Schizosaccharomyces pombe: one gene and its partner. Changing the gene in region 2 together with the main gene of any one other region gives a genetic interaction. Each region holds a gene or a part of one and is shown on either strand. Other genes may lie near its edges.

The links. Genes that interact genetically often act in the same process or in processes that back each other up.
Region 1: mutations in nup124 (region 2) and pfd6 together harm fitness more than expected from each alone (negative genetic interaction), as found in Schizosaccharomyces pombe (one large-scale study listed by BioGRID).

The regions. Positions count from the first base shown.
Region 1 is NC_003424.3:3,440,467-3,444,890, forward strand, and holds pfd6 (prefoldin subunit 6), read right to left. Parts: upstream 1,854-4,424; 5' UTR 1,822-1,853; coding exon 1,782-1,821; intron 1,732-1,781; coding exon 1,661-1,731; intron 1,652-1,660; exon of another isoform or gene 1,583-1,651; coding exon 1,458-1,582; exon of another isoform or gene 1,330-1,457; coding exon 1,221-1,329; 3' UTR 1,186-1,220; downstream 1-1,185. Other genes in the region: kinesin-14 family minus-end directed microtubule motor Pkl1, read left to right, coding at 1-895, 1,021-1,185; proteasome regulatory subunit Rpt5, read left to right, coding at 3,478-3,630, 3,816-4,424.
Region 2 is NC_003424.3:1,109,237-1,114,152, reverse strand, and holds the start of nup124 (nucleoporin Nup124), read right to left. Parts: upstream 1,979-4,916; 5' UTR 1,940-1,978; coding exon 1,689-1,939; intron 1,646-1,688; coding exon 1-1,645. Other genes in the region: AP-3 adaptor complex subunit Aps3, read left to right, coding at 3,035-3,301, 3,344-3,397, 3,860-4,036; transporter Hfl1, read right to left, coding at 4,043-4,916. UniProt on the Schizosaccharomyces pombe protein: Nucleoporins may be involved in both binding and translocation of the proteins during nucleocytoplasmic transport. In S.pombe it is required for the nuclear localization of retrotransposon tf1.

The DNA of each region.
Region 1 (4,424 bases), 2.3 Mb from region 2:
TCGAGTTTTTTGTAGGGTTAGACCACTACTCCCAAGTGAAGAATCCGAATATTGCATTGCTGATGTTTTACAATTTCCAGATAAAGACGCACTAGAGCCACAAAAACTTATTCTTAAAGGGCCTAATGTTGAATCATCACTCGGGCATACTTATGATCGTAATTATGAATTTTCCTTTGATCGAGTCTTTGCTCCTGAAAGCGATAACTCGTCCGTTTTTGAGGAAATATCACAGTTAATTCAAAGCGCTATTGATGGTTATAATGTTAGTATATTTGCATATGGACAAACAGGATCGGGTAAGACGTACACAATGTCGTCACAAGACGGTATGATAGCGATGTCAATTAAGCATATATTTAATTATCTATCAACCTTGAGGGAGAAAGGGTGGGTGTATAAATTGAGAGGTCAGTTTTTGGAAATTTACAATGAAACGATTTATGATCTATTAAACAAAGCGGAAATGTTGAAAAATCCTAAGCACGATATTCATCATGATGAAAAGGAAAGACGAACAACAGTGGATAACGTTTCAATAATTGATTTTAATGAAGAAGATACTGTTTACAAGATGCTAAATCGAGCAGGAGAAAATCGATTTATAGCAGCGACAAAAGCAAATGAACGGTCTTCAAGATCACACACTGTTTTCATGCTGTATATAGATGGTGAAAATTCTAGAACCAAACAAATATGTAAAGGTACGCTAAATCTAGTTGATTTGGCAGGTTCTGAGCGGTTAAGTTACAGTCAGGCAGTTGGGGATAGACTACGAGAAACGCAAGCTATTAATAAAAGTCTCAGCTGTCTTGGCGATGTTATCCATGCACTTGGAAATGCCTCAAATAGTACCACGAAGGAAAAGTCTCACATACCATACCGAAATTCAAAGGTGAGTATTAGAATGAAAAGTTCTTTACGAAACACGTTCTTTAACTGTCAAAGTGGCTACTTATTTGCTTTGCAGCAGTGTGTAAAGTCTATATTGAAAGCATTTTTGTACTAACCAGACATTAGCTAACTTATTTGTTAAAATATTCACTTGGAAAAGGTGCCAAAACCCTGATGTTTGTTAATGTGTCTCCTTTAAAGTCGCAATTCATGGATACATTAAATAGTCTGCGATTTGCAACAAAAGTCAATGATACAAAAGTAGGTTCTATTAAACATTATAAACGTTAAGCTTATTTTAGAGTAAAAAATGTTTACCAAAGCATTTAAGATGCTGGGTTTGGTGGAGCAGCTGCTGCTTGTGCTTGAATGATGGCACCTTTAACTTTGCTGAATTCTTCTTGTGAGATTTTTGTTTGATTTTCGAGGCGTGCACTATAATTATGAATTAATAAAATGACATACGCAATTCGATAATACAAATGAAGAAGTACAACTCGCATTTTTAGAGAGCGATTTTAACCTCAAGGAAATTCTTCTTTTTCAAATTTCAACAAACATACATTTCTTTATTAATGAAATCCAATCTTGTTTTAACGTTGGTCTTTGCTTCCTCATGACTTTGCTTTACAAGGGTAGGACCGATTTGCTTATATATATTTGAGTCAGGAGCCACTTTTTCCAATTCCTAATTCGCATTAACAAAACAATTCTAATATAAATGGAGAAAATAGGGAAAATAGTAATTTTTGTGGCCTTAACGTACATTGAGGACAGTAGTGTTTTCTTGTAATTGGGTTTCCAACTTTTTTAAACTTTCGACATAAGTGCTTAGTTCTTGGGAATTTCGTTAATTATTTAATTCGATGCAGAAGGTTTTGATTTACCTGTTTGTAGGTTCTGATATTTTTTAGCTAATTCCTCCATTTCTATTCCTGTGTAAAAAGACGTAAAAGGATAGTAGGTAAAGAGACATTCTACTTACCTTGAAAGTCAGCTGAAATAGCGAAGTTCGTTGAAATTCTATATTATGAACAAAATATATTTTAATTGTGTGATATGATTGATTTTATGACTATATTGGATAAAAACGAGAAATAAATAAAACCGAATTAATTTAAACAGAGAAATGTAAGCTACACTAGGAAATCGATTTATGAATGAGTGAATGAAGGTGTTGCTGAAATTTTGAGTAAAGACTCACTGTTTTGATACAACAAAACTACTTGGTTCAGTATATAAATTAGTGAATTGCAAACCTTTTTTTTGAATAAAGGATATGAAAAATATTGTTTTAGTTCACTTCTCAACTGCATCCTTCTGGAATTAACAATTCGTAAATAATGAAACCGTTTTAATGAATACAAAAATGTCTTATTAATATTCAAAGATATAAAGGAAATATTTTGAATGGAGATAAAGCTTCAGATATCATTGTTCTTTAAAAATAAATAGAAATACCATAGTAGTTTGTAAGCTTAGATCTTCTTTAGCTTGAAAATTTGGGAAAGACAATCTAGTGGGAAAAAAAGGATAAATGTATAAAATAGATTAAAAACAAAGAAAAGAAAAAAAAATAAGTACTTTTGTCGTAAAAGTTATAGATTGATGAATTAGAAGAACATCAATTTGTCATATTACTCACACTTGAATTTCCTATATATATATTACATTTTAGAGCAGCCGCTTAGAGCGGCCTCGTGGCCTAGAAGTAAGGCGTTGGTTTCCGGTGGAGGAGACTCCAGGTTCGCCAAAGATCGCGAGTGCAAATCTCGCCGTGGTCGCTTTTATTTTTTGCCTTCTAGAAAAGGAATTATTATATTAAGCATGAGTAAGATAATATTCCATCTAAGCAAATTTGCTGTCAACTTTGAAAAATTACTATATTTATCCTTGAATTTGTTGTGAAGTATAAATATTACCATATAGAGGTTTTGAAGTTAATTATATATGTAAAGTTCTCTTTTTTTTTTATTTTGTTTATTCATTTCATAGAAGTAAAAGGAATTATAAAATAAAATAAACTATTTATAAAATATTTGGTAGAAAATAATAAGTTTGCACTATTATCAAACGAAATTGTGAAAAAGCATATTAAGCACCGCTATATGCCTCATCAGCAGTTACATCTAATTATTGTATTTGTTTCAATTAAAGAAATTACATTAATGCACTTTTTGGGGATAAATTTTCTTACTGAAGACATACATTTCTCCTACTAATGTCAATAACATAAACAAATATAACTTACTAAAGCAACATCAGTTTCAAAGATCATCGAGAAGAAGTGGGACTACTTTCATATTAATTATAAAAAATAAGGGAAACATGTAAATTATAATAAAATATCCGTAGCTTTACCATTTTCTAGTAACACATAATCACTACCTTGATTACCAAGCTGTCTACAAGGATGCTTGCTAGAGCGATGCTAATAAATGCAAGTTACAAAATAAGAAGAAATTATATTTATAAAAAAATTATAAAGAATAAAAAAAATAATAATCATGTATAAAAATCTACACTTTTTTATGATGCTATAGGAGTACACGCCTTAGTCGTTTTAACCTAACCGGAACACACATGTCAACTCTCGAAGAATTAGACGCGCTAGATCAATCCCAGCAGGGAGGATCCTCCAATAATGAAGGTTTGGATGGAATTGAACAAGAAATTTTGGCCGCCGGTATAGATGAATTGAATAGTCGGACACGATTGTTGGAAAATGATATTAAGGTAAGTCATTCAATGAACCTCTAGATAAGTGTTGGGAAAACCGAAATCTTTTTCTTTTATAATTTCTTTATTCACAGAGAACGAAGATCTGATAATGTTTTGCCCTCATCCTTAAATGAAGGTGGAAAGATGAATGCGGTCGAATGTTCTTTTCTAGAAGTAAAATTCACTAACATAGATTGTAGGTTATGAAATCCGAGTTTCAAAGATTAACTCATGAAAAGAGCACCATGCTCGAAAAAATCAAAGAAAACCAAGAAAAAATTTCGAATAATAAGATGCTACCTTATTTGGTAGGAAACGTTGTTGAAATTTTAGATATGCAACCTGATGAAGTTGATGTCCAAGAATCAGCTAACCAAAACTCTGAGGCTACTCGTGTTGGCAAGTCAGCCGTTATTAAGACATCTACTCGTCAAACCATCTTCCTTCCCTTAATCGGTCTTGTTGAACCTGAAGAGCTTCATCCGGGTGATCTTATTGGTGTCAACAAAGATTCTTACCTGATCATTGATAAATTACCTTCAGAGTATGATAGCCGTGTTAAGGCTATGGAAGTAGACGAAAAACCCACAGAGCGTTATTCAGATATTGGTGGTTTATCAAAACAAATAGAAGAACTGTTTGAAGCCATCGTTTTGCCCATGCAGCAGGCTGATAAATTCCGTAAACTTGGCGTGAAACCTCCCAAGGGATGTTTGATGTTTGGTCCCCCTGGCACTGGTAAGACCTTATTAGCTCGTGCCTGTGCTGCCCAGTCCAATGCTACATTCCTAAAACTTGCGGCTCCTCAA
Region 2 (4,916 bases):
AGAAGTTTTTTTGTCATTGAAAATATTGCTTGTTGGCTTTCCAAAACTACTTCCAAAATTAAATTGTAGCGTAGGTTTTGTTGTGTCTTGTGTACTAGAAGCATTGTTTAAAGAGAAATTGAACGTAGGAGCTTTCGTTTCTTCCTTCTCTTCAAGGGTTTTAGGTGCGAATCCTCCAAAGCTGAAACCAGAAGTTGAAGCAGGAGCAGACGGAGCGTTGTCCTTCTTTTCTGTTTCTTCTCGTTTTGGACTTAATTGAGAAAAAAATGAAGGCTTGTTCTCAGTTATACTTGGCGTCTCTTGAGTCTTTGACGGTAATTGTGCAAAGAACGTTGGCTTGGGCTCATTCTCCTTCAAACGATTAGTTTGCACATCAGCAGTAGCAGTTGGCTTAAACTCAAATTTGGGTACATTTAATTTTTTGTCCGTGGTAGCTTCAGTCTTCGGTTCAAACTTAAATTCGGGTACTGAAAAGTGAGAAGATTTGATTTCCTTAGAAGGTGATGGCGGTTCAACTTCGGACTTTCTAGTTGTAGATTCTTTTGTCGGCGATGAGGAAAATTGGCTTTTGGGCGCTTCTGTATCCTTTGACAATGGCTGATGTTCAAAGGTTTTATTATCCTCAGCGTTCGCGAGAGTAAGTGCCGTATCATTCGGAGAAGTCTTTACAGGCTTAGGGGTAATAGAGGCTTGAAGCTCTTCAAAGGTAGGGGCGGACTTCGTCAATAAACCCTTGTCACTTGTATTATCCTTGGGAGATGCTATTATAGGTTCTAATATACGCTCAGATTTTGGATTTTGTTTGGGTAATGCGGTGTAATGAACGTCATCTTCGCAAGCAAAGATTTCATCCAAATCCTCATCAACTGCAGAAAAAGCCTTAATATGACCTTTCTCGAGAGTCTGACGCTTACGCGAAGTGGGTGTACTTAACCGGTGATAAATATCTTGCTTATCAATAAACATTGTATTACCGGGGTTGGAATCTGTCTGAACTTCTGCATTGACTAATACAGGCTTCCTTAAATCCATCTGTTCAAGAGTTTCATAAATGATAGGGATAAGCCGCTGGTGTCTACGACGTCGCCGAGAGGAGCGGTGAGGAACGTGATTTTTTGCTGAGACCTCTGTTTCGCCATTCTCCTTATCTCTAATGTCGGTAAGACTCTTATGGGAATCATTTCCAGAAAAGCTTTTGTTCTGCTTAGCTGAGGGCTCGTTTTCAGAGGCACGAGCAACAGATTTCTTTTTGGAAAGCATAGGACTGGGACTTCTAGAAGGCTTGCGCTTCTCACAAGTAGGATTAGCTTCGGTAATACGATCTTGTTTTACACTTGATATATTTAAGGTATTTTTCTGCTCATCGTGAAGTGACCGAAGGATATTGAGCAATGAAGCAGAGGATTTGGGAGTTGCAATTTGATGTTGAGAAGTGCTGCCCAACTTTTTGGATAAAGCAGAAGAAGGATGAAGCGAATTAAGTGATTTTAACGACAACTCGTCATGGCGTTTAAAAAGCGTTGGGGAATTAGTATAATCTTGCTTTTGCTTTGGCTTCCTAGGTTCAAATGTATTCGTATGAACTTTTTCCTCTATTCCATCAATTGTTCTAACATGGCTCCGATTACTAACGCGAATAATTCTTCTATTTAATGTTAATATGTTTCACGACAAAAATGTCAACTTACGGAGATTTTCCTAAATAATGAGGTGTTAACTCTGGAGTAAGCAGGCTTTTTGTACCTGCTCTTCCACTCTTTCTATCCTTGCTAGCCGTTCCTGAAGCTTTCTCGTCTAGACCACTGGTGAATGGGTGCAAAACAGATGAAAATGCCCGTTTCAAGACCGTAAAAAAGGGCCTTGAGCTCCCCTGAGGTGGGTCATAGGGTTTCTTAACAGTCTTTGATGAAGTGCGAGTATTTTTTGAAACAGGAGGCATCAATACAAACTCATCGACAACTACTAGAAGACGTTGGTTAATGAGAAGTAGCGAGTTTAGTTACGTGGCAATTATTTTTCATGCTAATGACTTATTGATTGTCTGGTAGCGCTATTTGTTATATGCCAATATCGTAGTCGTAGGAACTGTACGACTATTGTAACACGTTTCGTAAAAATGTTTAATACGAGAAGAAAGGGAGTTATTTGAAGGTGTTAAGCAAGATGGAATATGTTAATACAATTTGTTTTCGGTTTAAAAAAATGGGATATCAAATTCTATTTAATCTCGTTACCAGTAAAGTGGTGATTGCAACAGTAGTCCACGAGCCTTAGCTTCGTCAATATTCGCTTTATCAAGTTTTAGGCTGTCTAATATTCTAGCAACTTACTTGCAATACTTAAATTCTTCCGTTTAAATCAGCTTACATTGTATGAAGAAATGATTAGTTCTATTTTCATAGAAAAACACTTAGGCACGTACTGTCTAATCGTACGTAATTGGAATTTCGCTTTACTATCATCTATAGTAGTGTTGATTAAAACAAGTGCCTCCCATATAGCAAGGCAGCGTTCATTGCTAATCATATTATGCAAATATTCACTTAATTAGTATATTAATCAAAAAAAAGCTACCAATATATACCTATAGTAACTGAATAGTGGGATCACCTCATATAACTATTAGTATGTGTCTACTTATTACTGAGATGTCACATACTATGTAGCTATTTGAATATTTCATAACCATCAATTCAAAAATTGGTGGAAGACAAATGTTTTTTCCTATTTTTCTATTCCTAAATTGTATACAAAGTAGTTCGTTATAGAGATCATTGAAGGCATGGCAAAAATTGTTTACTAGACATTATGAATTTCAGTAACAGATCTTTGGTTCAATAGTGGATAAATAATATACTCAATAAATATAAAACCATGAAAATCTTAAATATAGCAAATTAACTAAGGCATTGAAAGAAATTTGTCGATCCTGGTTCTTCCAAACTACTATTAACGTATATTCAACTTAAACTTCAGCTTGCCGTTTACCAAGCACTGCATATTTGGGTTCTGCCAGCTTTCCCTTTCTATTGTCATGATTTACGCTGTTTTTATATTTAACAATAAAGGGAAACCTCGTCTCACAAAGTTTTACACTCCAATTGATGAATCCATTCAACAAAAGTTAATAGGAGATATATATGCAGCTGTATCCACTAGGCCCCCAACCGCTTGTAATTTTTTGGAAAGTAATTTAATTGCAGGTAAAAATAGAATAATTTATCGCCAGTACGCTACTCTCTACTTCGTTTTTGTAGTAGATGAAGGTGAAAGTGAACTAGGAATTCTCGATCTCATTCAAGTAAGTTGAAATTAGTTACTTTCCAATTTCTAACTATTAAAGGTATTTGTTGAAGCATTAGATCGATGCTTTAATAATGTTTGCGAGCTTGATTTGGTAAGTACATTTCACTACTCGTTTATCTTCCCATTATCCTACTGCTATATGTTTGAAACCATTGATTCCGTTTTTTTTTATTTAATTTGTTTTTTTCTTATTTGGTTTCGAATGTTTGGAAATTTGGCCTTACAAGAAACATTAATGTTTGTCCAATATTCGATTATCAAAAGAGCATAACATTTATTTTTATCATTTATTGAACTTAGGAACTACAAGAGTTTAATTCCTAATTCCTTTACTTCTCATCGCCTTCAAGAAAGAAATTATGCATAGAACTGGAAGTAGAGTCTCATTGTCGATGATTCGCAATCTCCAATGAAAAAAAAGAGGAGGTGTTAGTAATAATTATCCAAATACAAGTGTATACGCCAAAAAAAAAGGATATTGAAGGAAGAAATAATTAGAAGAGTTGAAAGCCATCTGTTTGAAAGCGAATTAGAAAGATCTAACACAATATAGGTTTTTAAATTCCAAGAAATACATGCTATTCTTGCTGAGGTAGTATCTGGTGGTCTTGTCTTAGAGACAAATCTGAATGAAATTGTTTTGGCAGCTCAGAATCAAATGCCAAAAACCAAACGGTCCAATGCAATGCCATTCAGCAATACATTAAGTTCTTTTGCTACTAGGTTCTAGTGACTTTTATGTATATGAAGAAGATGCATGAGTATTGTTCACTAGAAGAACTGGATAATTATAATCACCATAACGCATCTGTTTCGCTTGATTGTATAATGGTTCCATTTCATCGTCTATTTCAAATTGGAGCCCATTTTCGAAATGTGAAGTTGACATCCCTGGGATAGAAAAGTAGGACTTATTTGATTGTGGAGAGTTTTGACTATTGTTAATGAGACGCACTCGAGATTGATCATATCGAGAAATCCAGTATTTCGATTGACCTCCCTGACTGTACCGAAGACCATGACTTGTTCTATTAATCCTTCCATCGTTTCTTGAAGGTATTAAGTTCTCCCCAGGCTCAAAATTTTGATATACATAACGATCTCCATGTAGAGTTTGCAAACTATCGCACCAGACGTCTTTCAACCCGATTACGTCTTTAAAGGCTTTAAGGAGCGGTAGTCTTGCACAAGACAGCCATGTGGGTGTATCGTAATCCTCGATTCGAAAAGCGTACCAATGTGAGAGGGCAAAAAAGGGCATTTCTAAACACATGAGAACGTTCTGATTTAGTAAGGAGTAAATCCAGCCTGTTCCATTTAAAAGTCCCAGCCAGTTTGTAATGGAAAGAACGGTTTGCTGCCAGTAAGAGGCAAATATAATAGCTTTAACGGAAAGGAATTTTGGGAAAGGGCGAAAAGGAGCGAGCTCTTCATGCAAGCAAACCCAAAAAGTTGTTAGTGAATATAAAGAAAGCGTAATTGAAATGTTATAAACAAGACCTATCCAAAGGTCTGCAGAAGCATAAACAGGTTGATCTTCTCTGTCGTAGACTCCGGTGACTTTTGTTAACAGCACGGCAATCACCAGAAATGGTTTAAGCCAAGTGTAT